6 linked regions of the Ovis aries genome follow. The protein of the gene in region 3 purifies or fractionates together with the protein of the main gene of each other region. This does not show direct contact. Links are inferred from orthologs where the notes say so. Each region holds a gene or a part of one and is shown on either strand. Other genes may lie near its edges.

Region 1 (4,276 bases), on a different chromosome or scaffold from region 3:
AAGTTTTATTCAACAAGTTTATGCTTGAGTAATGAAGTTTCTAATTTCTGACATTCTATTATATAAATAACTATTATATATTACATATGTCTAGAGAACTATGTTAGTGCACATACTGTCAAAATGAACACATTAGAAGCATTATATTTTTAAAAGTTTACAATTTTAATAGAAAAACAATTTATGACAGAGCTAAATATACAATGTAAATTTAATTTTTAAAAAGAAATTATTAGTAAGAAGAGTAGCAGAATTCTAGTGACAAAAAGACTGAAATAATATTTGGAAATAAACCATCTTTAAAGGAAAATATTAATTCATGCCAGGCTCTATTAAAGTGCGTAAAAAGGAAATTTATTTTAGAATTTACACCAAAGGCGCATTACAAGTACATGTGTTACTCTGGCACAGTAATGCAGGAAGCTCAGCCTCAAAGAAAACACAGCCATGATCTCATGTATCAGTCTGCCTCCTAGTACATGCCTCACAAATAGTTTGTTCCAAAAGCTGAAAATTACAAGCCATTTTTCCTGTTGATAGCTTTGCAAGTAACTCTGGTAACAGACCAAAAAGTCTTAATTCTTATCTTGCTGATTCTCTAAAGTCATGTCAGTCTCAAGAAACTTCTGATTTCTGGTCATTTTCAATAAAAATTGGTATGAGAGATTATTTTCAGACTTTTAAAACAAGTTATATCATAAATAATTACATATGTAAAAATTAAAAAGTAAATTTTAGAGTATCTTTAGATTTTAATTTCTAAAATATCATTTTATTTGCCATGTTGAATTAGCAATGAAAAGCATAACTTGCACAGCCACTTGGTATAGTCACTTTCATAAGAAGCCCAGTGGTTGCAGGAAAGAATGAGAGCTGTACAGAGAGGTGGGTGGATGGCAAGGCAATCCCATCAGGCAGCTTCTCACAAAGTTTAAACCACTACAGCCTCTTCAAAGTGCACTGTTCTCAACTTAAAAACAAACATCAGCATGGAGGCACTCACAGATGCTCGTTTTTCAGTGGCCTCACATGATGATTCTCTGATTTACATTCACCACATACACATGGATGCTTTTATCATAAAGAGAAAAGAAAGAAACAAAAACTGTGATTTCAAAAGATAAACTCCACGAGAGGCTAGTAAAGAATGCTGTGACCACAGAAAATCAGCAACAGACTGCCAATATCAATTATAGAAAACAATTTTCAACATACAACTAAAGGGTATAATAAATTTTTTCTAAAATAATTCAAAAATAAATAAGCAAAAAAAATAATAAAATACACAATTCACTTTTACAATGAATCAAACTAACAAATACTTATAAATTATTTGTATACTTTCATGTGTGGTTTGTTACTAATAATAATGCTTTTCTGGTATGAGTTTTTTCTCTGCTCCTGCACCCATGTCTTCCCATAACTCTCTAGAGAGTCACAAATATCCCTGTAGTTATGAGTAAACCACGAAAGTGGTAAATTCATCAAAATGCATTTCATCTATGTAATAAATAAATGTTGTGAAGTTAATTTCTCCTAATTTATATAAAATAATCCCATTACTCTATGAAAAATAATGATCGTATTAACTTCACTATGGCTCAAATCCTTAGGCAAATAACTTTCTGATTACCTGTTAATGCAAAGAAAACTAAGTAAATTTTATTTTCATATTTAAACTACTGACTACTTATAAGCAAAGTAGTATTTATTAAAATAAGATAAACACTTAATTTATACTACCATCCTCTCAAATTTATACAAGTTTTTCATCCTTAATTTTTAAACACACATCATGATACTTTTCAAACATTATTAGTGAGGCTTATATAAAAGTTAAATATGACATCGAAGCCAGATTGTGATTTTTAAAGTAATGAACCTCAAAACACCTAGTATTATTATCAACACAATGTGTAAAATTCTAATAAAACACAGGTATAGTCTTATAGAAACTTAGTCCTATAGTACTGAGCGATATTTACAAGCAAACATGATCCAAACAGCACAAGCAGATTCAGGGTAAGTAAACACGCGGACACGAACTGCCAGGCGCACCTGGTCTCCACGGCAACAGATGATTTCTTCACAGAAAGGAGACCTTAGAAGAGAGAAAATGGATTCAATTAAGAAATGAATTTAGGTTTTACTTTATTTCCAAGAAAGTCGGGTATTGAAAATGATTTTTAAAAATCCTGTCTCTGTTATCAAGGACTCTGCAACTGTGGTAAAACTATTCAAATTATAAACTATTTCCTCATAGCCAATTAAGTTTTTTAAATTACACTAGACAAGATCAGTGATCCTTGGCAGAAAAACGACCCTGAGCTCTCCAGAGCTACACTCTGGCCCTAATGAATCAGAGTCTGAGGCAAGAGGACAGGTCACTACAGAAGCTCCCTGTGTGACTCTGAAGTCATTCCTAAATTAGTGCCAAGTGTTCACTGAAATTATGTTAAAAACACCAAGACATCATAAATTCCACCTTACCGAAGACATGTGGCAAACGCGCGCCTCGCATTTCTATACACAAAGTGTATTGGGAACCCTTTAAATGTGTGGCCATCAGGCACAGCCCTTCTGATAGCATCCTGAAACTCTTCATTGCCCGCAGATATGCTTGTTGTACGCTCAAATTCATAAGACGCCAGAGCTGGTGACAAGAGATAAGAAAGCTGGTCTTCCCAGACAGTAGTGAGGCCAAGGTCCTACAGCAATTGAAATGGAAAAAGCAAAATACAATATTTAAAGAAACTAATTATAATGTTGATTATTTTAATGTATGCCAAGAAAAGATTTTTAAAATCTGTCATAATTTTCTTAACTTCCTATTAATTATTATAAGGATACAAAGAAGTAAAAATCATAAAAGGAAAAACAGGTATCAGGTTTTACTTCTTAGAGAAATAACAAAAGGCAGCCAATGCAATGATGTTAGTGAAGGCTGCAAATGCTGAACTCCCTTAATATCCACAAGGAAAGACCATAAGGAATTGTCCTACTGAGGAAGACAACATGTCAAGGAATTCTGAGGTCAAATTTTATTTAACTTTAAAGACTTTCACAAGATTGAATCTGCTTAACCTGATTACTCCCACTATCAACTGAACTGTAGTTGGGGAGAAATGTCAACAAATTGCACATATAATTAAACTCAAATATTTACTGAGCATTTATTCTGTAAAAGACACCAAAAAGCAGAAGCTACAGGCCCTCTGGGAGCTTAAGACATGCTGAAGGCAATTATAATTTCACTATGACATCAAATGAACCATTGCTACCTTGACATGTAATTTTTTTAATGCTACAAACTAAAAATTCTAAATATTTTGATTATTATAACAGATCTAATCTCACATTCTGTTATAACTGGTTTCAAGTAGGGATCACTTATCTTCTTCCTGTGACTCTTACCTGTGGGCTTATAGACACCATTAACTTAGCAAGCAACCATCTATGGCATCCAGCTCAGCTTTGTTCTCTTTTTTCTAAACAAGTAGTTCTTATAATGTATTAAAATGTCAGTTTCACAACCTAGATGTCCATCAGCAGATGAATGGATAAGAAAGCTGTGGTACATATACACAATGGAGTATTACTCAGCCGTTAAAAAGAATACATTTGAATCAGTTCTGATGAGATGGATGAAACTGGAGCCAATTATACAAAGTGAAGTAAGCCAGAAAGAAAAACACCAATACAGTATACTAACACATATATATGGAATTTAGAAAGATGGCAATGACGACCCTGTATGCAAGACAGCAAAAAAGACGCAGATGTGTAGAGCGGACTTTTGGACTCAGAGGGAAAGGGAGAGGGTGGGATGATTTGGGAGAATGGCATTGAAACATGTATACTATCATGTAAGAATCAAATCGCCAGTCTATGTCCGATGCAGGACACAGCATGCTTGGGGCTGGTGCACGGGGATGACCCAGAGAGATATTATGGGGAGGGAGGTGGGAGGGGGGTTCATGTTTGGGAATGCATGTATACCCGTGGTGGATTCATGTCAATGTATGGCAAAACCAATACAGTATTATAAAGTAAAATAAAGTAAAAATAAAATAAAATAAAAATAATAAAAAATAAAATGTCAGTTTCATTTTCAAACAGGAGCTAAGAAAGTAAAAGGCAATACAAGCAATGGAGGTAGGAGATGGAGCCCCGGCCCAACTACTGCTGGAAACACACTACAAGTGCCATATTCAATACTTCCCAAAACACACTCCTCAACACCCTGAGAAGTTGGCAAGTAGGTAAGAAGATTTCA
Region 2 (4,837 bases), about 15 Mb from region 3:
TAGCCCTCTCCCTCCCTTCTAAGCCAAGCTCCAGGAAGGAGCGTGATGTCTGCTGTTCCCGGCCCTACTTCCCACCCCCACGTCTGGCTGCACACCCACCCCTCTTTCCTATGACTTCCTGTGACTGCTCAGAGCCAGGGCCTCTGCCTGGAGGAGTCTAGCAAAAAAGTTAACGGGGGGGGGGGGGGGGGGGGGGGGGAGAGGGGGGTGGACAGAAAGTACCAAACAGGAAGCTCTAGCCAGTAGGAACACAGGTGTGTGAGAAAGGCTGAAAGCCTGCAGGCCTGGAGGACCCGCCCCTCGGGTTGGAGCAGGCCCCAGGCTTGCTCTGCTCTACCCACTCCTCTTCTGCACGCACCACCCCCACCTCCTCACCCCTGGAACCTCATAGCCACGCTGTGATCATCTGTTCACTTGTCTCCTACTCCAGACTGGCTTGGAGGCTTGGCACCTTGGGTCCTGTGTGTGTTCAGCTGTTGAGCACAGAACCAGTACCCTGATGGAGTTCAGACAGCAGTGTGAGTGAGGGGTGTGGGCACAGAGCAGTTTGATGCCTTGGGAAGAGTGTAAGAAGAGAGCCTTGACCCAGATTCCCTGGCTTCTCTGGGAAAAACCACTATGTCCTTGGCCATCAAGCACTTCTCCCAGAAGTTGCATTTCTTTCCTTGTCAGAATGTCTCACGGAGGAGGTGGGGTGAGAGCTGGTTCCTGAAAGACAAGGCCGGGTGGGCACTGCCTAATACCTGGGTGAACGGAGTGTTGCAGCCACTAAAGCAAGCAGGCGTGCTCTTCTGTTTTAGTGGGCTCCCAATTGACCGCGAGGAGATGGTGAAGACTGACAAGGCCCAGGTGACACGCTGAGGGTTTGCCCTGGGAGGGATGGAGGGGTCCAGGCTGAGCCGCGTTTCAAGGGAAGGAGTCAGACGCGCTGAATGAATCACCCAGGCCTGTTTCTGCCCTGCGATCTATACCAACAGCGGCACGGACAGAACCAAGGGTCTCCTCGCCTGAAGCAAGGACGGGAGGCAGGGCCTTCGGCCTCAGGGTGCAGGCCACTAAGGTCAGGGGGCAGCCTTGGTGAGGTGCCTCCCGCGGGGGCCCGCTCGCCTGCGTCCACGCAGGTCGAAGACCGCGTCGGGGTCCGCGCTCAGAGACCCCTGGCTCGGAAGCGCTGCCGGTCCGCTCAGACCTTCACTGACAACCCACTGTGCGCCATGGGCTCTGGTCGCCGGGATCTCTGCCGCCGACTCAGCGGCAAGGCCGAATCCCAGAATAGGGCAGGTCAACGCGGCTCGGAGGGAAACCAGGAATTCCACTGCCGACTGCCCCGGAGCCGCGCTCCTTCAGACCCCAGCCAGTGCTTGGGAGGCGGGGCGGCCGCGCAGGTTCCACCAATCAACAGCCGGCGTTCGAATTCGCATCCTGGAGCAGCCAGTCGCGGGCGCCCGATGCCGAGGGGGCGTGGCTCGGGGCGGAGCCCGGTGGGGTAGTGGCGCTCGCCCCCCGTGGTGGGCCAATGGGAACGCCCGGCGCGTTTGAAAACTCAGGCGGGAGGCAGGCGGGTCTGCGCCTGCGTGGGGAGGCGCGCTCTGGGCCCGCGGGCGGGTCTGGCGGCTACAGCGGCGGCGGCGGCCACGGCAGCGACGACGGCTATGGGGAGCGGAGGCGGTGAGCGCGGGGCGCGGGGCGCGGTGGAGTGGCCTCCAGACTGAGTGGGGCCCGCTTGAGCCTTTCAGCCCGGGGTTCGGATCGTCCCGACGGCGCCTACCCGGCGCGCGGTTTAAATACCCAGCGGCGCCCAGCTCCGCGAGAAAGCGGCGCGAGGGGACCACCACCTGTGCAGGGCCGTGAGCGCCGCCGAGGAATTTCCGTGGTTATACCGTGGCTGTCCTAGGGCAAGGGAGTGAGGATAATAGGGCAAAAGGCGAGGATTGGTCGAGCTGCGTATGCGCTCGGCTTTCGCATTAGGTTAATTACTGATGGGAAGCCCGGGTGAGGAACGAGGGGAGAGGGCAGGAAGACGCCCTGAGCAGGGAGCTTGCCCGGTGGTGGAGCAGCCACCTCCCGTGGGGACTGGAGGAAGGAGCGGATGAAGAACCGGGTGAAGCGTCAGGAATGGCACCTTCTGCCACAAGCTCCTCTGCTTGGAGGGAGGAAAGAGTTGCTGGAGCTTAAGTTGGAAGGACCCCCCTGTCAGGGTCTCAGAGGACCCTGAGACCGGCGGGACAGCTCTGACATCCACAGAGCTGGGACTGGCCTGCCCTCCAAGTCCACCCTTGGCTTCTCTGCAGGGTGGACCCTCTGAATTTGAACTGGAAAACCTGATTGTTCAAATCCTTATTAACATTTCATGTTTTAGTCATGTGTGCAAATAGAAGCAAAGAAATCAGCTAGAGTCCAGGCGTCTCCCTGGCTAATCATCATCAACACTGTCTGCTCTTCCTTTCTTCCTCGTTGTTATCTGGGCTCTGGGTCAGACGGTTTCCCAATGGCCAGCTTACATGATTACTACTCACTGTAAACATTTATCGAATAATTTGAATGAATGAAGATGTCTCTTATACCACTACGGCTTCTTTATTTAATCTTTGGGACTGTAACTATGGCTGGGGCAGAGGACCAGTAACTGTTAAAACATGTTCAGATGTAACTTTTCATATCACAGTTCATTTCCAACACATCACTTAAACCATTCTGATTTGTTTTCTTAAGTGATCCACTGTAGGTGTGCCAAGTGTTTCTGTTATCCTTCAAAGCGGAGAATAAGGAGGAGACCTCGAAACCTCACAATCTTGAATCTCCCTGAAGATGCGCTCTTTCATATCCTGAAATGGCTTTCTGTTGGAGATATCCTCGCTGTCCGAGCTGTAAGTTGTCAGATGAACACAGTGTCAACCCTGGCATTGTTGATTTTACCACGAAGGCTTCATGTCTCAAATGTCAGAACAAAAACTCTGGCTACCGATGAGGGTAGATGATCCCCAACGGTGATGTTGGCAAGTAGACGTTTGAGGTTGTTCTGACGACAGGAAAGCAAAAACATAGGACAGCAAGGTTTGAGTCCGCTCTTTGCAGTGTTTATTTTAACAGAGAAAGTACCTTTTCCTGGCAGTGAAATTTGAATCCCTCAAGATACGGGAGAGTGTTAAGAAGAAAAAGAGTATGTTCTTGAAGATGGTGTGAAGTAGAAGTGTTAGTTGTTCAGTTGTGTTCAACTCTGTGACCCCATGGACTGTAGCCCACCAGGCTCCTCTGTCCATGGGATTCTCCAGGCAAGAATACTGGAGTAGGTAGCCATTTCCTTCTCCAGGGGATCGTCCTGACCCAGGGATTGAACCTTGGCCTCCTGTATTGCAGGCAGATTCTTTACTGTCTGAGTCACCAGGGAAGCCCTTATGAGGACAAATCTCATATAATATCCAGTGCTGAAAGGGGCTCTGGGCTTTATTGTGCAGACATCAGAACTGCAGCCTCACCCTGAGCCACTTAACCAAGGGCATCCAGCAAATTAGTGGGGGAACACCCACAAGAACCCATTTGTCTGACTCCCAAACCTGCCTCCATTGTGTTCATAACATCTGCAAGTGCCATTTCCAATGGCAGTGGGAGCTTTTGCACTTAAAATGCTTGCTAGTGCCCCCGTTGACCGCCCAGATTCCAGCTGTGCTCCCACTAGCAAAACAGATTTCTGACCTACCCGTTAGCCCTAGAGTCGGTTTCCCTGGTCGTTGCAAGTATATAGCATTATATCCTGTTTCTCAGCCTGGTGCTTACCCCCACTTCCAGGACCTGTCCCCACCTTTAGAACCACAGAGAAAGTTGTGTCTGATTTCTTTTCTCTGTTCAAAGCAACTGCTAGTTAGTTTGATACACAGAGCCCAGGAGGCCTTACTGGTAGGGTCAGAGGGAGACAGGAGATCCTATGTCTGTCTAACCCTGTCTTCAACAGCTCCAGAAGTGGGCCTTCCCTGTAGTCCCTTGATAACCCCCCACCCCACTCCTGTTGTTCCTCAGGTACATTCCCACCTGAAGTACCTGGTGGACAACCATGCCAGCGTGTGGGCATGCGCCAGCTTCCAGGAGCTGTGGCCTTCTCCGGGGAACCTGAAGCTCTTTGAAAGGTATCTGCACCCAAGAGCAGCCGGGCTTCCTCTCACTCCTGGCCTTCCCTGCCGTGCCAGTCTGTCTCAGGGCTGGACCTGGCCATGGTTTTCCTTCTGCTTGTAGGCCTCTGCCAACACCATATCCCCCAGGGAGTGACTGAGCATATAGACCTCACCCATCGAGTCACATGACTTCTAGCATGGTCATGGGTCATCCGCACCCCCAGCTCAGACCTGCCACTCATTAGTCACAGTGGTGCTTCCGGAAGGTCCGCTTCGGCTGTGACCCATCCCGCGTGGCTCAGATGCAGGTCACCTGCACGTGGAAACTTCTTATTTCCCTTACTTTGGTCAGGACCATGTGGTTTGAATCCTAGTGCATTACATTCCCTGGCTGATCCCACCCCCTCCGACAGACCTGGAGGAAGAGCCAGAGGGGCCAGGAGCCACACAGTGTGCCCGTGGTCACAGGCAGGCTGCCTGAGACAGTCCACGAACCATACAGCCCACCCACTTAGAGTGTACTGATCAAGTGGTTTTTAATATATTCACAGCATTGTGCAATCATCCACACTGTCTGACTTGACCTTCTCATGACCCCTGGCTGAAGCCGCATAACCATTCGCAGTCTGTCCGTATCTTCCCAATAGTAATCCAGACCCTAGACAACCTCGCATCTACTGTTTGTCTCCATGTATTTGCCTGTCCCGGGCATCTCATACGAGTGGGGTCAT
Region 3 (4,876 bases):
ATAACTGGCCAAATCAGAAGTGAAAAACAGAATCTATCGGCCCTCATATTAATTCTGCTTTACAGTTGAAAAATGGAACCATCACCAAACTACTTACAACAATCAGTCCAGTAATTTCACAATTTCTGGAAAACTGTGATGGTGGCTACGAAAATATAAGGTAACCAGGAAGGATTAGCTACCAATTCATTCATCCAGCATGTGTTAAATATTTGATTGCCTGTTTTCACAGTATTATGTCTGGCATTGTTTCCTTTAAATAAGCAAGGGAAAGGGAAAGAGCTATCACTGGACTCATAACCAACAAGGATATGAATTGTGAAAACTGAAAAACTAATACGATAATATTCCTTTAAGTGTTCATTTTAAAACAATTAATTAACAACAAAAAAAAAGAGACAGGGAAGTGAAATTCAATTCATGACGTGGGATATGCAAAGATGAAATAAGATACAATATGATACTGCCCTAAGCCTCAAGGTACTTAAAAATTTAGTACTCTAATGTATCCAGGACAAACAATAGCACAAATGGAAATGAAGGAAAATCACACATGAAACTATGATTACATTATGAGAAAATAAGATCTATTGCTACTTTTGACAAACTGGTAGTCCTTTTTTTTTTTCTGGTAGTCTTATTAATAGCAAAACTTCTTCCTACCATCCCACCAATTCTAATTATTTCTATTTTCATTTATGCAAATTGAGAACTTAATTTCAAAGAAATGGTTCTCTAGCGTATAAATGAGATTATCTTGCAAACTTAAATTCATAAAACAAGAAAATAAAATACAAAACAGCTTACTGCATGATAACCAAAGCAGGCCTCATTTAGTCTAGGCTTCAACCCACATTATATATTAAAAATTAGAATAGGCAGAAGCTAAGATATAAGAGAAAATTAAATGATCCCCTCTCTACTAAAATGCTTCAAAAGAATTTTTAACACAACCCACACATCCAGCATTACAAGAAACAAAAATAGATTACTCATACAATTAATGTAATATACTTCCAATGGATACACAAGCAAAGCATGGAAGGTCTGGGAAATTTAAGGAAATAAAATATCTTTATGGTAATAGCTTTATATTTCTTTCAACATCATATAAATATGCCTCATTGCTTCAGAAAGTTAAATTCACATCCCTTAAACAGTATATGTTTGCCATACACACTGCAGACATACAGCAATATATTATTATTACCGCATAACTTATGGCCTATGATAATATCATGATTATGAAAATAACCAAGTGACTCTATAGCATGAACCCTGTGTCATTCACTATCACACTATCCTGCTGTTTCCCAAGTTTCATAACACTTACCCCTATCTGAAATTATCTTATTTCCTTGGGTTTTGTCTGTCTTCCTCCACCAAAATGTAATCTCCATAAGCACAGGTACCTTCTCAGTCTTGCTCACCACTGAATCCCCATTACATAGGACAAAGTCTGTACACAGGAGGCACTTCATAAAAATGTTGAATAAACAGAATAGTTAGCTCAAATAATAAAGTAAATCAGAAAAAAGAAGACAGTAGACTACACTGCAAAGAAGCTAGCAAGGAAGAATGGAATTTAGAGAATAGGACTTTCATTGATGACACTATTCCCAGAGAAAATGGTACCTCTAAACTGCAAAGGCAACCATTTAAAAATCGAGAGCCGGAATCCTATGTAATTAAGCAACAGGGAACTCCATTTCTCATGCCACAATTACCTCTGTTAACAGGGTTTTATTTTAAGGGAGCATTGATTACAAGGCCACTGCAACCACAAATCTACTGCCCCATACTTTACCACTAGGTATTACTGGTCCACTTGAATTAATAATTTGTTGGCTGCATCAAGTTCAGACATGGCCTGTCTTCTCCACTTAAACTAGGATCCTTCTCCAAATGAGCCTCTTTGCAAACCCCATAGACTCACAACTCTGCTACCTGCTCCTCCTCAGTGCTCCATCAGAAAAGTCACTGAAGGGAATCACGAAAGAACACAGAACATGTCCTGTTTACACATCCTAGCTACTTGTTTACCCATCAGTCTTTTCAAAGGGGCAAAAAAAAAAAGGGGAAGCTTTCTTTTTCAGGCACACAGGAGCTGAATGTTCTTGGCAATTCACTTACCATATCTATCCCTCGTTTCCTGTAAAATAGGTATAATCATAGTATTTGCTTTGATGAGATTCTGTGTGGATTCATTAATAGGACATGCAGAAAGCAACGAATGGGAGTAACTTTCATTAGGAAGAGAATGATGACGACTATTTTTTCCACTAGTTTATGAATTCCTAGAGGCCAGTGACAGTGCTTTAGTTTCTGGTAAGATTCAAATTTAACTTAAAAACGTGGAGGTTGAAGAGGGAGGGGACATATGTATACCTATGGCTGATTCATGTTGAGGTTTGACAGAAAACAACAAAATTCTGTAAAGCATTTATCCTTCAATTAAAAACTAAATAAAATTTTTTAAAAAAAACGTGGAAAGGGGGACCTCAGCTTCCTCATTTTGCTGCGTTCATTAAGTCAAACTCTAGGTGCCTGCCATTGCTTAAATTGGGAGCAGGGAACTGGGGTTATAACCAGGTAGAAGCAAAGGGTGGAAACCACCTAGTAGCATGAGGGCCAATAAAGATAATTTGCTTTTTTATCCTTCTCCTTGCGCCCCCAGAGAGTCACAAACGCAGGATGAAGAATGCGCCTAGGCCCTTTAGCTGGTGATAACTGGCATTCAGAAATGGCCAGTGCACACCCTGGGACGCTCCCCTTGCCAGGAAAAAAAAAAAAAAAATGGCCCAACCAGTTCTATCAACAGGAGATGGTTCCCCAGTTTTGGTCTGATTTTATTTACTGGGGACCCTCTGCCGTCTCCCCAGCGCCCCAAGTCCACCTTCCCCAGCTCCTCTGATAAAGCTCCATCCCGAGGACCCACCAGGCGGTGCCAGCATCTGAACATCACCTCCGCGACCGATGCCGCAGGCCCCCGGGGCACCCGCCTCCACACAGCCTGAGTCTTTCCAGGGGCTCGACGTCCGGAAGCCCCTGCGCTCGGGTTTCTTTCAGCTCCTCAGCGCGCCAATTCCGCCCGCCCTGCGGCCTCGCAGCCGAGACCCGCTGAGTCAAGCCCACTCTTAGGCACACACCTGTTCTCCCACGGTCCCGGCAGGTTTCCTCCCCTAGCTCCTGGCCTTGGTAGGAAGCAAACTGCTCAATTGGTACTGACTGAAAACAACTCCGTTCGCCGCCGCCTTCTCCTTCTCCTCCCCGCCATATTACGGTACTCTGGCGGCAACGCGGGCTCCTGGCAACCGCCGCCGCCACCGCCGCCGCCGCCGCCGCCGCCGCACCCCCACCTCCGGACTCCACCTCTTAGGGCCAGAACTTCCGGTGGCTGCTTCCGGGTCCGTTGGCCCGGTTGGGCCTTCAGAAAACTACAATCCCCGAGTTGCTGTGCGCGCCTGGTTTACGCGTCCCGGCCCAGCGATGGAAGGCGTTGTTCTTACGGAAGGCGCGGTGCACGCCGGGAAGCGTAGTCCTCACTGACCGCTCTCAAATTTTCTTTCGTTAGGAGCTGAAGCCTCGAGAAATGCTCCTTGAAGCTGCTATTTTTCACTTATCTGTAAAGAGATAACTTCTTTCTGTACAATCGTTGGAATACATACAGTAGGCACCAAATTTTTTTTCTCTCTTAAAAAAAAAAAATGATTGAATCCTAGATGCCACAACTTGAAGCTTCAACACTTGCCTACTCTTGCAAATCACAGGGAAAATACCTCCAAGAAACGAAGGCAGCAGGTTAAGAATGGCAGGAAAAGCTCAGAATGTTTTGCCAAAGTTCTCTGTCCAAACATATTGCCAGTTTTCTGTCAACTTAAAAAAAAATACCACAAGAGTTGTAGGTTAAGTTTTATTTGGGACAAAAATGAGGACTATTACTCAGGAGACAGCAATTCAGATAGTTCTGAGAAACTGCCCCCAGAGAGGCAGGAAGAGAGGTCAGTACGATTTTAGCGGAAAGGGATATGTGAAGTCAAGCACACGTTTTGCCAGAGGCTTCCGCTGGCCATGAGGAGCTGATACCACCATTAATGATTTTAGTGCTTTTCTAGATAGGAGGAGATGTAAGAATTGGGCTCATAAAATCTTCTGAAAATACCCAATTTTTCCCAGAGGACAAAGTACCTCATTCCTGATCTCCACCCTGAACTCCTTTCAGGATATGTTGAAGGTCAGTGGCTGCAGTGGCTAATAATTTAACCCTTACAGAGGCAAATGGCAACTGCCAATTTTTGTTGGCATTTTCAAAATATGACTTAACAGCTAGCCCCTTTCCTAAACTGGCCTTACTTTCTGCCTCTCTTACCCTCTTTCCCATGCCAATTTTCTCGTGTATAAAATGAGAGATTTAAATGTGCCTATCACAAGAGTAGTTGTAAGGAATACTTGAGATAATTCTTGCAGTTCCTTGTACAGAACCCCCATCATTAGACCTTAGTAGGAGAAGAAGTAAGGTTAAGAGGAGTAGCAGTAGAAATTTCATGGCATAAAACTGGGTAGCATGATGTTAGTCCCGACTCTGCCATTATCAGCTCATTTCACTTCACTTCTCCTGGCCTCAGCTTCTTCATCTATCAAATGAGGGCATTACTGAAATCCCTTCCAGCTTTACAATCTGATTATACCTGCTCTACTGTTTTGTTGTTGTTCAGTCCTTGAATCATGCCCAACTCTTTGCAGCCCCATGAACTGCAGCACACCAGGATCCTCAGTCCTTCACCATCTCCCAGAGTTTGCTCAGATTCATGTTCATTGAATTGGTGATGCATATCTAAACATCTCATCTGCTGCCCCCTTCTCCTTTTGCCTAGCA
Region 4 (4,967 bases), on a different chromosome or scaffold from region 3:
TCACGGCACTCTATCAAATAGTACTAACAGGCTCATTTTCAGACATTAAGGAAAAAAAACTACCCAAAAAGATGAGCTTCTGGCCACAGGTCACCACCACCAAAGGCCAAATTGAAAGAAGAATGCAACCCATCTGACTGCAAAATCTGAGTGCTTAACAGTTGGGCAACCCTGCCTTCTCAGAAGGAAAAGTGAAAGTCAATCATTTGTGTCCAACTCTTTGTGACCCCACGGACTGTAGCCTGCCAGGCTCCTCTGTCCATGGAATTCTCCAGGCCAGAATACTGGAGCAGGTATCCGTTCCCATCTCCAGGGGATCTTCCCAAACCAGGGATCAAACCCAGGTCTCCTGCTTTGCAGGCAGACTATCATTTGAGCCACCAGGGAAGCCCTTCTCAGAAGGACCCTTCAGACAAAAGATAAAGGGCCTTGCTCCAGATCAGAGAATATGGGGCCCAGGGAGGACTGCTCGGTATATACAGGGGTGCCCCTGGAGAGAGGCCGGCACTGTGTCCACCCTCACCTGCAGCTCATCCAGGCTGAATTCACAGTACTCCCGGCGGGTGCCCTTGCCATTGGTCAGGATCCCACAGCCACTCATCATGATGGTGCCTGGGAAAGCAGACATTTTGGTTAGGGTATGGGCTCCCTGCACCTCAGTGACCAAAGGCCACGCCCCCACCATGCCAGGGGCTGGTACCTGACTGCAGGTTGGTCATGGTGGCTGGGTACTCCAGATTGTTGGGGTTGTGGGTGGTGACACCAATCTCAATGGAGCCTGACCACTTATCTACGAGCTTATCGATGCGGATCTTGGGTGGAATGACAGTGGAAGGGAGAGGGGAAATGTAAACTCAGAGAAAAAAGTCTCTCCGCCCTTTGAGCTTCCCTAGGCCACCTCCACCCTTTGCTAGCATTGGGGATTGAGCCCCATCTCTAGCTCCCAGAGGGTGAGACGCTGGCCAGGCCCCAACACCTTGCACACCTCAAACATCTCATTGTCCCGGAGTGGGCGGTTGGTCATGACAACCCCGTTGTTGAATTCATCCAGGGGCCGGCGGCGCTCAGCAGTCTTATTGTTGTTGCTGAGCTTGATGAGGGTTCCACACTTCTCATGGAAAAGGAGAGCATCGTTGGAGGTGACAATGGGTGAGGTGGCAGCACCGCTAGGCCCTGGTGCTTCCTCTGCTGGGGGGGAGCTCAGGTTCACATTCAGGAGCCCCCCGTTGTACGCAGACAGGATGGCATTGCTCACCACCTCGGAGAGCTCCATGCTGGCAAAGTCTGCAACAGCAGGACACAGGAAGGGAGCAGAAATGAGTATTCTCAGTCTCAGGCTCACCAAGCTCTCCCTACCCCTCTCCTGAGGTCCCCCCCTGTCCACCTCATGTCCCGCTCCCCTTCCCAGGCCTCCCAGGAACCCTCACCATTATGCGACTCAAGGCTGTTAGGAAACGTCTCCGGTCGGGCCTGCGCTGGGGATACCATGAAGGCTGGGGACCAGGTGGGATGGGAGGGGAATAAGGGTTCAGCCCCTGCTGCAGGGACCACAGCCAGGAGACCCCTCCACTAGCCCCTGTTCTCCCAGCCCACACCCAGCCTCACTTGTCATTGCCTTGCCCGCCCCCGTTCCTTCAGCCATTCTGTCTGCCCCGTCCCCCCACCACTGCCCTAACTTCATTCTCACCTTCATCCCCAGAGGTCCCTTGTTCAGCCAAGGCAGAATCTTCAGGGGGGGCGGAGGGATCAAGGGGAGGTGTGGGGCTGGGAGTAGGGGGGCTGAAGCCCGGCTCAGGGGGGAGCACAGTGATCTGGGTGCACTTGCCGTAAAGGTCCACGACGGCCCAGACACGAGCCGGAAGGCCCGTGGCAGCCACGCCGCAATCCCGCCCGTTCACCCAGAGCCGCAGCTCCCCGGCAGCCGTGCGCTCCACACCCACACGGTCCCCTTCGCCAAGCTGGTCGAGGTCCTGCCCATACTCCTCCAGCACAGACCGTCCATCCCTCAGCACCGAGCAGCCCGACACTACCCACGAGCCTCCCTTCAGCCCTGTGGCGCTGCTTGGGAAGTCCAGCACATTGGGGTCCAGTGCCGTCACCCCAATCTCAATGGAGCCACTCCAGGAGTTGACCTGTGATGGGGCAGTGGACAGTGGCTCAGGGTGGGCTACGAATGGGTCTCCCACACTTCATAGGCCACTGTGTCCCCCTCTTCCCACCTCTTAGCTAACTGGGCTTTACTCTCTTGAGATACAAGACATCCCCAATCCAGAGATCCAGTCCCACAAAGTATTATCTGGACTCTGGTCTCAGGGAATGATTAGACTTGCTCTCCGTTAGCAACTCTCTTCTGTACTCTGGGTGCACGCTGTCTATGATCCCATGCTCTTCCCACGCTGGCTCACCAAGCTGGTTAAATTCCCTGGCTCCAGGCTCCTGCCATCTCTAATTGCTCTGGTCTCTGTAGCTCCTCAACCAGTCAAATTCACAGCTCTCCATACTCGCTGGTATATTGCTCGCTCTTTCTCTCTGGGCCTCTCTCCTAGGCTCTGGCTGCACTCAAACTCACTCTCTTCCCAAATTCTACCTCTGTGCACCTGGCATTTCCGCTGCATCACCGCACAGGCATACACATCTCTTGCTTTGAGTATCTCTCCTCACCCATCTTTCTGTCCCTATCGGTGTGCTTTTGTCCTTCAGTGGTTGTTCTTTTCTTGGTTATCTTTCTTCTCCTTCCATCACATATCTGACATCTCTCCATCCTCCGTCTCCCAGAAATTATCCCAGGAGGATTGTTCTTTAATCATTATAGTGGGTGGGGCCCCGTGTCCCTTCCATGCTCCTGAGTCTTGACAAAAATCAAGCTCTCCTTGCCTCCTATTTTTGTGACTTAATGTTTCCGCTTCATGCTCCCTTCCTGCTCATCACCTGGTGTTCTGGCTAGCGGTTCCCTCTCGGTATCCGGTAATGTGGGCTACCCTAGCTGTCCTCCCCCATCGCCTTCTGGTCCCCTCCCACCACCCTCCACATCTCGCTTCCGCGGCCCCAGCTCCGCACCTTGCGGTCGATGCGGACGGTGAAGACGCGTCCATCGCGCAAGGGTTCCCGACTCAACACCAGCCCGTGGTTAAACTCCTGGCCTGGCTGCTGCCGCCGCGCTGTACGCCCACAGGCCGACAAGCTCACCAAGCGCCCGGTGCGCGGGTGCAGCTCCCCGCCGCTGCCCAGACCCCCGCCGGACCCCGGCCCTGGGCCGCTCCCGCCGGGGCCACCACCCCCACCCCCACCCGGCCCCGGCCCGGGGCCTCCCCCGGAGCCCCCATTCCCACCCGACCCCGCCGCCATCGCCGCTGACACCGGGGCCGCGCGACAGCCGCGCTTGGCGGCACCGTGGCAACCGCGGTGCACAGACGCCCTGGGGGAATAGGACTCGGGGGCTGGGGCCAGATATGCTTTACGGCAGTGCCGGGCAATAAAGCATCCCGGAGTAAGGAACTAAGGACTACTACGGTGGGAAGAGAAAGGACGACAGAGTCGGGCAGGTTTGCTTTACGGCACGGGCGAGGTGACGGAGTGGCTCCAGAGGGGCGAAGACGGGCCGGGAGCTTTTGCGACAGTGGAAGAAACGACTGCCACAGGCACTTTTACGACTTAGGGGTAGTGCCCAAACACTTTCAGCTTTGCGACACCGACGACCCTGCCTTCGTCGAGGACAGGCAACACTTTGAAGTATTCGCTTTACGGCAGGAGGAGGCAGGGGGCTTTCCTTCGCTCCAAGCGCCCGGAAGCGGTGTGAGCGGGCCCTGAGCACATAGAGGTAGCTTTGTAAATAAAGAGGGTCACACTCCGTACCACTTGAGACCGGATATGTCTTTCGACAGTGTCGCAATCCCTCCACTTCTCCGCAGAAACAGAGCGGGCTGGATTTTGGGGCGAAAAGAGTTCGCGATGTTTCTAGACAAGCCCATCTTGAACTCTAGTTCAACCAAACTTAGGTTTTAAAGCCACGAATAAAGAGTCCAAAGGAACCCTGGCAGGTAGTTTCAGGCAACGACGCTGACAGCCCTCAAAGACAGCCACCCCCAGAGCTATCAACAACCCCCCAGCAAGACTCCCTAGATGCTCACGCTTCAGTTGGACTGTGTGTGACGTCACAATTAGGTTTCTCGCACGGCGTCCGGGACCATGACTATGATTGGATAATTCGGATAAGGGTGATGGGGGAGAAGGGCGGGAACAAATCCCAAAGACAAAGAAAGGTTTTAGGGTGGGACAGAAAGGGAGGGGCAACCTGAGAGGCTTCCAGTCGGAGGTCCCTAAACAGTTTTGATTCCGCCCCCCACTGCTCCAGGGAGCGGTGGGGGAGGGGACCCAGGCCTCGCCCAAGCGTCCCTCTCCAGCCGCAGTGGGGGCGGGGCCTGGGGCGGGGCTATGTGGAGCAGGGAGGCGGGGCGAGGTAGCTGAGAGTGGCCCCCTAGTGGGGCCATGGAGAAGCAGGAAAGTGTGGGGGCTGCTGGCGGCCTCAATGGAGAATCCCCTGGTGGGGGTATCAGGGGGGTGCCAGGAGGCATCGGAGGAGTCGAGTCAGGCGCCGGGTTGCTCTCCGGAGTAACCATGTTTCACGGTTCTGGGCCCTCCACGCACAATGGGGGAACTATAATTCGCAGTCCTGATTCTAGCCAGCCCTCCGGAGGGACAGCAGTCCTCGGTACCGGGCTCAACCAGCATCCTGGGGAAGTCGCGGGCCACAGCTTTGGGTCCCGTACAAAACCTGACGGATTTAATCCCCCCTTCCCTGGAACCAGTGTATCCGGGACGTTCAACCCGGGGTCCGGGGCGTCTGGGTTGTACAACTCGGCAAACATTACGATATCCGAGTCAACTTGCATGCGCCAAGACAGACCCTGTGAGGACCGGCCCCGGAGCATCCTAAAAAACAGCAGCTCCATCACGGTGCACAAATCCCC
Region 5 (4,276 bases), on a different chromosome or scaffold from region 3:
ACTCATTGTTGCTCCAAGAATTGAGCCCCACCTATAAAACTGCACTGGAAGAAGACAACTAGAAGCTGGAACTTGGTCTCTCCAGAAGTTTGCCCTGTGTGTCTTCTTCCTTTGCTGACTGTAATCTATATCCTTTCACTCTAATAAACATAATCATAAAGAATAGCTTTTTTGAGTCAAGAGTCCTTTTTACAAATCAAACCTGGGCATAGTTTTGGGGACCTTCAACACACAGTCACTGCCAGTTGCTGAATCTGGTATACAGTTCTCGGTCCTGTTACAGCACCTCTCTTCTCTCTTGAAACATGGCCCTGCTGGAGCTGGGACACACTCTCTCCCAGTTCTCCTCCCTCTCTGGCTGTCCCTTCTCAGTCCCTTTTACTCTTCCTCCTCTCCCACTTGCTAATCCCAGTAAATACTGACAGGTGCAGTCCTGATACTCAGAATAAATCTATGAAATCCTAATTTCCCTGGGTGACAGTCATGAAAACATGTAAGCCAGAGAATGAACACATAACTTCCACCATAGCCACCAAATTTTAACCCCTTCTAAGTCCCTACTGTTTTCCTTAATTCTTATGTCATCTACTGGGTTCTATGTAGACTTCCTCATCGTCTCACTTTTATACTCATTCAGTTTTTCTATATTTTCTGTATCTTCTGTGTTTAGGTACATAGACGTCCATAAGGCATGCATTTCATCCAACATTTACTGCTATGCTGCATCTATATTCCAATCTCAGCACTAGATACGGAGGCACGTATTGCAGTCCTTGCTCTCAAGCTGCTTTCAGTACAGTGTCAGAGACAAACCTAGAGTGGCAACATGGTATGGAAAGTGTCCCAGACACTAGAGTTTGATTCAGTGTTCTGAATCAAAGCTAAGAATCTGACACCCCCAAACCAACAAAACAGCATCTTCACAGTAAAAGCCTTAAAACGGACTTCTCACCCACCTCCTTATTTCACCAGTTAGGCAGACAATGTGTTCTTGCATCCTGCGAAGACGGATTTCATAGCGCACATCTCTAGCTTGTGGGTTGTAGTTCCTGGCATAAAAGCCCCGCCAACAGGCCTGAAGCTTGGTGGCTGCTTCATTCAGTTTCTGGAGGGCAACTTTATCTTGTCCCAACGGAACAGATTTCTGGGTTAACAGCCTGCAGGGAAGCTTCTCTGAAGCTATTTGAGACCTGGCTTCTTCACTGTCTGGCTGCATATGGAAGACATTGTGTCCAACTGACTCAGGAAAAGATGTAAGACTGTGGGTGTGATCCTTCAAGCCAGCACTGGTGACTGTTGGCTCAGGACAAGCTAACAGTCCATCTTTCTCATTTACCTCTGTACCAACTGCACTTTTTGTCATCTGAACAGAATTCTCATTTGCAGCCCCCAAAGCCTTTTCCTCTTCCTTGTTTGATAAGCTCTGGTTTTCTGGCCCTTTCACAGATTCATCTGCAGCAGCATCATCTTCTAGGCTCAAGTTAATGCCTTGCAGCCTCAGCTCCACTGTAGGTGATACTGGAGAGAGTCCTGATGCAACTGGCATAAAAGTAGACTCTGAAGAGAGGAGACTGCAATTTAACTTGTCCTCATCGGTCTGGATGTCTTCCAGGTGCAGGTCATTTCGAGAATATCTTGCAGTGTGTACAGAGGTTGGAAAGTTATTCTTAACAGCATGTGATTGGTCATCATGACTGCTTATCCCAACCCAAGAATTGACTTGGATGACAGGTTCTAAAAGAATCAACAGAATGTCACTGGAAACATTAAATATTTACGGAGGGATTTTTTTTCAGTTGTATCCCTTTAATGAAATTTAATCCCTCAAATATAGTAAAAGGCAATGAAATTATTTCAGTAATTTCCTCCAAAATGCCTTAAAATATCAAACCAAATATTTTTAAGAAACTAAATTCTTGCAATAATCATAAAAATAATCAAAGTACTAGGTCAAGTCAAAAGGTGGCAGTCCTCTGAATGTTTTCGAAAATTAAGACATTTAATAGTTATAGATGTCTGTGTATATTGTTGTTGAGCCACTAAGTCGTGTTTGACTCTTTTGCGACATGACCCCATGGATTGTACAGCATGCCAAGCTCCTCTGTCCATGAAATTTTCCAGGCAAGAATACTGGAGTGGGTTGCCATTTCCTTCTTTAGGGGATCTTCCTGACCCAGGGGTTGAATCCACATCTCCTGCATTGGCAGGTGGATTCTTTATCACTGAGACAAAAGGGAAGCTGCCATTTGTGTAATATACATATGTAATAAAATAAAAGATCCAAATGTTCACTTGAGCTAACAAGTAAAACATTCTGAAAATATGTACTGTTTCCTGTTTTATGATACCAAATAGATCAAACAAAAAAGGACCGGAGATCAGTTAACTTCTTACCGCTTTCTGGGACTACCTGGCCATCTTGAATGGGGCTGGAATGCTCTGGCACAAATGATGCCCTTGATTCAACAGGAGACGACTCTTCATTGTGGCTCTGGTTCATTAACTGCCTCTGGTGAAATCTAAAATCAGAATACCCTATGTGATTTCACACAAATCAAAAAAAGAAAGCTTCTCTGCTTCCTTCAACAATTCGCCAGGTAACAATGTCAAGAAGGGAGAAGTTTACAAGTTTTCAGAGTACATACCTTTAATGACCTCAAAATTACAAAGTCTCATGGATAGAAAATGTTAAGAAATTTATTTTTAAATCACAGTCAGACACCATCATAAATATACACACACAAACCTTCAAAGACAGGATCTCTGATGAAAGACGTGACTACTAAAAATGCTTCTAGTATATATAACGTTAGTTTTCTTTTTACGTTTTTTCTAAAAGCTTTATTTATTATTTGGTTTTGCCTGCGTTGGGTCTCTGTTGCTGTGCATGGGCTTTCTCCAGCTGTGGTGAGCGGGAGCTACTCTTTGTTCTGGTGTACAGGCTTCTCACTGCCAGTGGCCTCTCTCTTGCAAAGCTCGGGCTCTAGAGCTCGGGCTCAGCAGCTGTGGTGCACAAGCTTAGCTGCTCCACAGCATGCGCCATCTTCCGGGACCAGGAATCGAACCTATGACTCCTGCATTGCCAGGCGGATACTTAACCACTGGACCACCAGGGAAGTCTCTATAATGTTAGTATTTTAAAGCCCATGTAAAACACCCACATTAAAAGAACAAATGAAGTTATTTTAAATCCCAGGCTGCCAGGCTGCTAGGCTCTCCCCACTCAGGAAATGACTAGTAAGCAATGCAGCTACTGGGGAGGAAACCAGATTGCACTGCGTGGTTTGGCTCCTCTGAAAGCCCACTGTGGTGACCAGGGCCCCAGGGGTCCAGAAATGTGGCTGCAGCACTCTCTCCAATCCTGCTAACTCTGCAGGAAAGTTGCATCAGCCGCTACAGATAAATGCGCTCACCTCTGCTTGCTCAGAATCTTCTCTAGCTTGGCATCCTCTGCAGTTTGAAGGCCCAGCGTAGAAGTGAGAGGACAGACTGTAGCCAGATACTGGACAAGCTGGATGTGCTGGCCAGGCCGATACGCTCTCCCCTTGCCTTGACTATATAGCCATTCAGCTTTTAAACTGGAATTGGGGGACAGAAAGAAGGGCTGGCACTGGGGTAGACAAGATACATTTTCAGGCAGTAATGATCTTCCTTCTTAATATGCCTTTCCAGCATCACTAGATGTTTTTCATGAATAACATTTCAGTTAAAAAGAAAAATTATCCTCTGCTTTACTCTCCTTATTCTTGTTATGGTTTAAACATTTTTTCTTGCTTAGGGGCACTTCCAATGATTTGTACTAAATGGTTCCAAATATTTTAAAATTATCTTCAAAGAAGCAATAAGTATTCCCTCCATTCACTGTCAAACTGAAGTACCTAAATACATAAACTGTGTTTAAATTCACTAGTTCATAATGATAGTTTTTTTAAAGCCAACTGGTCACAGTTGAAGGATGCTAGTGAGCTACCATCTCATCATCTTTAAAAACTGATAAAGGGGGAGAATTAAATATTATTAATTCCATTTTTCCTATACAAACTATACCAATGAGTAACCAAATAGTTACTCCACAGAAGTATTCCAGCTTATTTAAAAATGAATTATAGAATTAAAATTTCACCATTTTGCAACTCTCAATGAATTAATGGATTTAGGCACTGACCGTTAACAGCTTCTCATAACATAAGAGACAACCAGATACCATGTGCCTCTCAACAGGACCCAAAAAGCTGTTCTTGACCCCACAAAAATCTGATCAAACCTCCACCTCCAA
Region 6 (4,925 bases), on a different chromosome or scaffold from region 3:
AATTTAACCTTCTGAAGGCAACTGTATAGCTCAAAAACCTTTAACAGCTTCTAACTGTTGAGCGTAAGATATACCTTTAAGGCCCTGGACAGTTTATTCCAAACCATATCCAACATCTGTTTCTTCTACAACCTGCTGTAAACTTTCTGCACTTGTCTCCTCAAATGTAAAGAATATGCATATTTCCTATCCCCAGTTTTTATTTACGGTAACTTTCAGCTCTAGAGGGCTTCCCTTGTGGCTCAGCTGGTAAAGAATCCACCTGCAATGCAGGAGACCTGGGTTCAATCCCTGGGTTGGGAAGATTCCCTGGAGAAGGGAAAGGCGACCCACTCCAGTATTCTGGCCTGGAGAATCCCATGAACTGTATAGTCCACGGGGTTGCAAAGATTCAGACAGGACCGAGTGACTTTCACCTTCACTTTTCACTTTCAGCTCTAGAGGGCTTCCCAGATGGCACTAACCTGCCTGCCAATGTAGGAGGCGTGAAAGATACGAGTCAGGAAGATCCTTTGGAGGAGATCAGGGCAACCCACTCCAGTATTCTTGCCTGGAAAATCCCATGCACAGAGGAGCCTGGCAGGCTACAGTCCATAGGATTACAAAAGGAGCCTGGCAGACTACAGTCCACAGGGTTACAAAGAGTCGGACATGACTAAAGTGACTTAGTACATATGCATACCAGCGCTAGAAGCTCGTTAACACTTTACCACTGCCTCCACTTACCTAAAACTACTCAACAGTCTTTGACCTTTATAAGGTATGAAAGTGAGTGATCATCGATCAGTCGTGTCTGACTCTTTGAGACTCCATGGACTATATAGCCCACGGGATTCTCCAGTATTCTGGAGTGGGTAGCTGTTCCCTTTTCCAGGGGATCTTCCCAACCCAGGGATTGAACCCAGGTCTTCTGCATTACAGGCAGATTCTTTACCTGCTGAGCCACAGCAAAGCTCTTAAAACATATCATTTCAGTTCAGTGGGTCAGTTGTGTCCAACTCTTTGCAACCCCATGAATCACAGCATGCCAGGCCTCCCTGTCCATCACCAACTCCCAGAGTTTACCCAAATTCATATCCATTGAGTCGGTGATGCCATCCAGCCATCTCATCTCCTGTCGTCCCATTCTCCTCCTGCCCCCAATTACTCCCAGCATGTAAAAGGTATTCTCACATCTAAATCTCTTCCTCTCCTAACAAATCCCTGCAGTGGTTGGCTACTCTAACAAATTATAACATAATTAACATAAAACAGGCTTCCCTGATAGCTAAGTTGATAAAGAATCTGCCTGCAATGCAGGAAACCCTGGTTCGACTCCTGGGTTGGGAAGATCCGCTGGAAAAGGGATAGGCTACCCACTCCAGTATTCTTGGGCTTCCCTTGTGGCTCAGCTGGTAAAGAACTGCCTACCATGAGGGAGACCTGGGTTCAATCCCTGGGTTGGGAAGATTCCCTGGAGAAGGGAAAGGCTACTCATTCTAGTATTCTGGCCTGGAGAATTCCATAGACTATATAGTCCATGGGGTCACAAAGAGTCAGACACAACTGAGCAACTTTCACTCACTAATGTAAGACATCCCTATGCTTTTTAAAACACAACTGTTCTGCTTCCCCTACACATTCTTTTAGGAACTTTAGCTGTCATTTAGATTTTACAAAGTGCTTTAGAGATTAACTTATCTAAGCAGAGATTCTTAAGCTTTCTCTAATAGTCAAAGCTACTAGTAAAGTACTGCATACAAACCTTCATTAATGATTGAGTAATTCTAAAAAGGTGTATCATATTTTCTTGACTTTCACTTTTTAGCTCATTTACTTCCACCTAAGTAAAGAGAAAAGCAACAATTTCATATTTTATAATCCTTAAACAAAATATAATAATTCTTTCAGTTGTTACCATTCAGTGATTTCAAGGACAATTTAATCATAGTTGTATATATGTATCTATGCTTTATCAATTAAGTACCTTGGATAAGGAAATTAATAAATTATCTGCCAATTCTTCTTGACGAGGCAGCTCATCTGGGTCAACCTTTCTTATTTCTTTCCAGTTTATATTAGGTGGCATCTTGAATTCTTTCAATGTGCTTTACCTTCTGTAATAAAACAAGTGGGTATTAGCATTTACAAGGTAAGTAGCATTACTGTCTTTACAGTAATTTAAAGTTGTTACAGATCACATTGTTACAACTCTCTACGGAGTTTGCAAAAAGTTATTGCTTCTCAATTGTGTAACAGATACGTCGATTAAATAGCCTGAATGAAAAGTACAGCAGTTGCAAAAAATCATCAGATATTTTATAGGTCAAATAATTACGAAGGCTTCCATGCTTAAACTATAAGTCAGAACTAAGATTCTGAGTCCCGCTCCTCCACGACCCCTTACCACCTCGAACACCTAATGGTGCCAAGTGCGGGGGTGCTTGAAAGGCTGAAGTTGAGCCCCGATTCGGAGAAACAAAAACTAGGATTTAAGAAAAAAAAAAAAAGTGAGGAAATATACGACTGAAACGAGTGCAGTTGGGCCTGGGAAATCAGGGCTGCAGCGAAAGGCAAGCAAACCGATTGCGGACAGGAGGCTAAGGAACGGGGAAACTGAGCTGTTGTCTTACCTGGGCCCCGAAGGTTAAAGAACCTGTGTGGGAAGAGACTCGGTTTGCGCTCACCAGGATCCACCTACCTACACCAAACCTGGCAACCAGCGGCGGCCGCTCAGCTACCGTACCCACTCGGCCCGGCCCAGCCGCCAAACCTGACCGCTCTCCAGCGCCCTTCCTATCGGACACTGGATCCCGCCTACTGGTCCGGAGCGAGTAATAGCGACAGCGGCTGCTAGGCGACACCATTCCCCACCCCGCCGAGGCCGCAACAAGAGCCCGGATGCTAGCGATGCCTACATTTCACGACCGTGGATGATGCTTTACGTTCAGATTCCCGCGCGAGTTCCCTGCACTGTGTGTTATGGACGAAGTGAAGGCGTGAGGTGAGGACTCCAAATCCCAAAATGCAGTTCTGCTGGGAGGCCGGGACTTTTGGACGATGAAGTCTCTGAGAAGTGGAGGTAGGCCGTTCCCGGCGTGCAGTGCGGGAGGCTGCGGCGGTACCGGGGTGCGGGGGGACCGCGGTGCGGGGGGACCGCACGGAGGCGGGAGGCGCTGCGGCCGAGGCGTGTCTGCGCTGGTGACCTGAAAGAGGCCGAACATGACTGTGCCTTCGGTGGCGTCGCTCGCCGGACCGCTCTTCCCGAGGTTTCTCTAAGTCAACCCCGGGTGGAACTGCTCCCAGGTGAGGTCGGGCTATTGGTTAGTGGCGGGGAGGAGGTAACGGGAGCGGTCCCGGGTGAGAGAAGCTCCTGCCTTTGGGGCCGAGGGGCCCGGCCAGAGTCTGAAGAGGTGGGAAGACGCCGCCCTCTCCTTGGGCGTTCGCTGGCGACGCCCTGGGTGGTGCCCTCTGTAAAAAGGCAGAAGTCTTAGCTTCTTCGATTTCATAGTCTGTCTCCGTACAGTGGAGTGGGGGCCGCGAGCTTGGCAGGGGGCGAGTGAGAATTTGGGAAGAGGACACTGCATCCTCCGACCTCGGCCGCCTTACCTGTAGCCCCATTATCTTCGCGGGTTGACGGACTAGAAGATTGAGCGAAGGTTCCAGAGAGGAGAGGTTAGAACTTGCCCAGGCCCCTGCTAGGAGATAGAAAGGGAAGGCTGCTCTGTACTCACCAGCCCTGGTGCTGTCACTTGCTTGGTGACCAAGGGTGGTTTTCCCTGACAACTGCCTTAAACGCTTGCAGCTTTTCTTTGTGCAAGTTTTGCCCATCGGGCTGCTCTCAACTATTCTGGAATGTGATACACCGCTAGGAAAACTTTCTTAAGCTGTAGACTTGAAAGCTAAATATATTTTCAACTGTTTGGACCAGTGCATCCATCTTTTTAAAATTTGAAGCACTTTCTTTCATTTGCTAACTATAATTGATACCGAAGTTTACTTTTGAAAATTTCTTTCCAAACCGTTCAGTAGAAAATAACATAATTTTGTGATCCACTTAGAGACATTCATCGGCTTTGTAGAATAGTGATCATTTTGTCTGGTCCTTGACTGGAAGATGGTATACCAAACACTGTTCATTAACCCTTTTTTGACTATGCCGTATGTCCCCATAAATTATCTTATAAATGAAAGTTTGTACCTGTTGACAAATCTGTTCTTTGTTTCTGTCAGTTTGCTTTTTTTAGAGTCCACATATAAAGGAGATCACAGTTGTTTTTCTTTCTCTCTCTGACGTTTCACTTAGCATAATGCCATCATGTTCCATCCATGTTGTCATGAGGTCATAAATGGAAAGATTTCTTTGTGTGTCTGAGTCATATTGCCTTGTGTGTCCATTCTATTCATACATGTTCTTTATCCTTTCATCCATGCATTTATGCTTAGGTTGTTTCCATGGGTTGGCTATTATAAGTAACGCTGAATGAATATCTCTTCAAAAGAGTGATTTAGTTTTCTTCAAATATATACCCAGAAGTGGAACTGCTGGATAGTATGGTAGTTCTGTTTTTAAGTTTTTGAGAAACCTGTATCATTGTTTTCTATGATGGTTTCATCTGTTCGCACTCCCACCAGCCATACACAAGTGTTCCCTTTTCTCTACATTTTTGCCACCAATACTTATCTCTTGTCTTTTTGATGATACTCATTCTTACCAGGTGTGAAGTAATTGATAACTCTGATTGTAGTTTTGATTTGCATTTCCCTGACTTTGCGTGATTAGGAGCACTTTTTCATATACCTGTTGGCCATTATATGTCTTTGGAAGAAGTTCCTGTGCCATTTTTGAATCAGGTTTTGGTTTTTTGTGATTGAGTTGTATGAGTTTTTATTTTGAATATTAACCTGTTTACATATCTATTTTTGCAAATATATTCCCCCATTCC

What was found.
Region 1: the proteins of CCP110 (region 3) and CEP76 purify together in Homo sapiens (co-immunoprecipitation; 4 studies listed by BioGRID and IntAct, with this or other methods). This does not show direct contact. The link is inferred for Ovis aries from reciprocal best matches to the Homo sapiens genes CCP110 and CEP76.
Region 2: the proteins of CCP110 (region 3) and CCNF purify together in Homo sapiens (affinity purification with western blotting; 7 studies listed by BioGRID and IntAct, with this or other methods). This does not show direct contact. The link is inferred for Ovis aries from reciprocal best matches to the Homo sapiens genes CCP110 and CCNF.
Region 4: the proteins of CCP110 (region 3) and NEURL4 purify together in Homo sapiens (affinity purification with western blotting; 4 studies listed by BioGRID and IntAct, with this or other methods). This does not show direct contact. The link is inferred for Ovis aries from reciprocal best matches to the Homo sapiens genes CCP110 and NEURL4.
Region 5: the proteins of CCP110 (region 3) and CEP97 purify together in Homo sapiens (co-immunoprecipitation; 10 studies listed by BioGRID and IntAct, with this or other methods). This does not show direct contact. The link is inferred for Ovis aries from reciprocal best matches to the Homo sapiens genes CCP110 and CEP97.
Region 6: the proteins of CCP110 (region 3) and CEP290 purify together in Homo sapiens (co-immunoprecipitation; 6 studies listed by BioGRID and IntAct, with this or other methods). This does not show direct contact. The link is inferred for Ovis aries from reciprocal best matches to the Homo sapiens genes CCP110 and CEP290.

The regions. Positions count from the first base shown.
Region 1 is NC_056076.1:43,546,982-43,551,257, forward strand, and holds the end of CEP76 (centrosomal protein of 76 kDa), read right to left. Parts: intron 2,709-4,276; coding exon 2,491-2,708; intron 2,102-2,490; coding exon 1,963-2,101; 3' UTR 145-1,962; downstream 1-144. UniProt on the Homo sapiens protein: Centrosomal protein involved in regulation of centriole duplication. Required to limit centriole duplication to once per cell cycle by preventing centriole reduplication.
Region 2 is NC_056077.1:2,458,010-2,462,846, forward strand, and holds the start of CCNF (cyclin-F), read left to right. Parts: upstream 1-1,586; 5' UTR 1,587-1,652; coding exon 1,653-1,668; intron 1,669-2,712; coding exon 2,713-2,867; intron 2,868-4,014; coding exon 4,015-4,121; intron 4,122-4,837. UniProt on the Homo sapiens protein: Substrate recognition component of a SCF (SKP1-CUL1-F-box protein) E3 ubiquitin-protein ligase complex which mediates the ubiquitination and subsequent proteasomal degradation of target proteins.
Region 3 is NC_056077.1:17,602,360-17,607,235, reverse strand, and holds the start of CCP110 (centriolar coiled-coil protein of 110 kDa), read right to left. Parts: upstream 3,378-4,876; 5' UTR 2,939-3,377; intron 1,476-2,938; 5' UTR 1,334-1,475; intron 1-1,333.
Region 4 is NC_056064.1:26,921,941-26,926,907, forward strand, and holds the start of NEURL4 (neuralized-like protein 4), read right to left. Parts: upstream 3,352-4,967; 5' UTR 3,346-3,351; coding exon 3,058-3,345; intron 2,133-3,057; coding exon 1,688-2,132; intron 1,651-1,687; exon of another isoform or gene 1,494-1,650; coding exon 1,428-1,493; intron 1,285-1,427; coding exon 986-1,284; intron 813-985; coding exon 701-812; intron 613-700; coding exon 524-612; intron 1-523. Other genes in the region: uncharacterized protein LOC105607811, read left to right, coding at 4,486-4,967. UniProt on the Homo sapiens protein: Promotes CCP110 ubiquitination and proteasome-dependent degradation. By counteracting accumulation of CP110, maintains normal centriolar homeostasis and preventing formation of ectopic microtubular organizing centers.
Region 5 is NC_056054.1:166,991,573-166,995,848, reverse strand, and holds part of CEP97 (centrosomal protein of 97 kDa), read right to left. Parts: intron 3,579-4,276; coding exon 3,414-3,578; intron 2,520-3,413; coding exon 2,395-2,519; intron 1,735-2,394; coding exon 957-1,734; intron 1-956. UniProt on the Homo sapiens protein: Acts as a key negative regulator of ciliogenesis in collaboration with CCP110 by capping the mother centriole thereby preventing cilia formation. Required for recruitment of CCP110 to the centrosome.
Region 6 is NC_056056.1:124,433,716-124,438,640, forward strand, and holds the start of CEP290 (centrosomal protein of 290 kDa), read right to left. Parts: upstream 2,986-4,925; 5' UTR 2,898-2,985; intron 2,788-2,897; exon of another isoform or gene 2,613-2,787; intron 2,097-2,612; 5' UTR 2,069-2,096; coding exon 1,967-2,068; intron 1,823-1,966; coding exon 1,745-1,822; intron 1-1,744. UniProt on the Homo sapiens protein: Involved in early and late steps in cilia formation. Its association with CCP110 is required for inhibition of primary cilia formation by CCP110.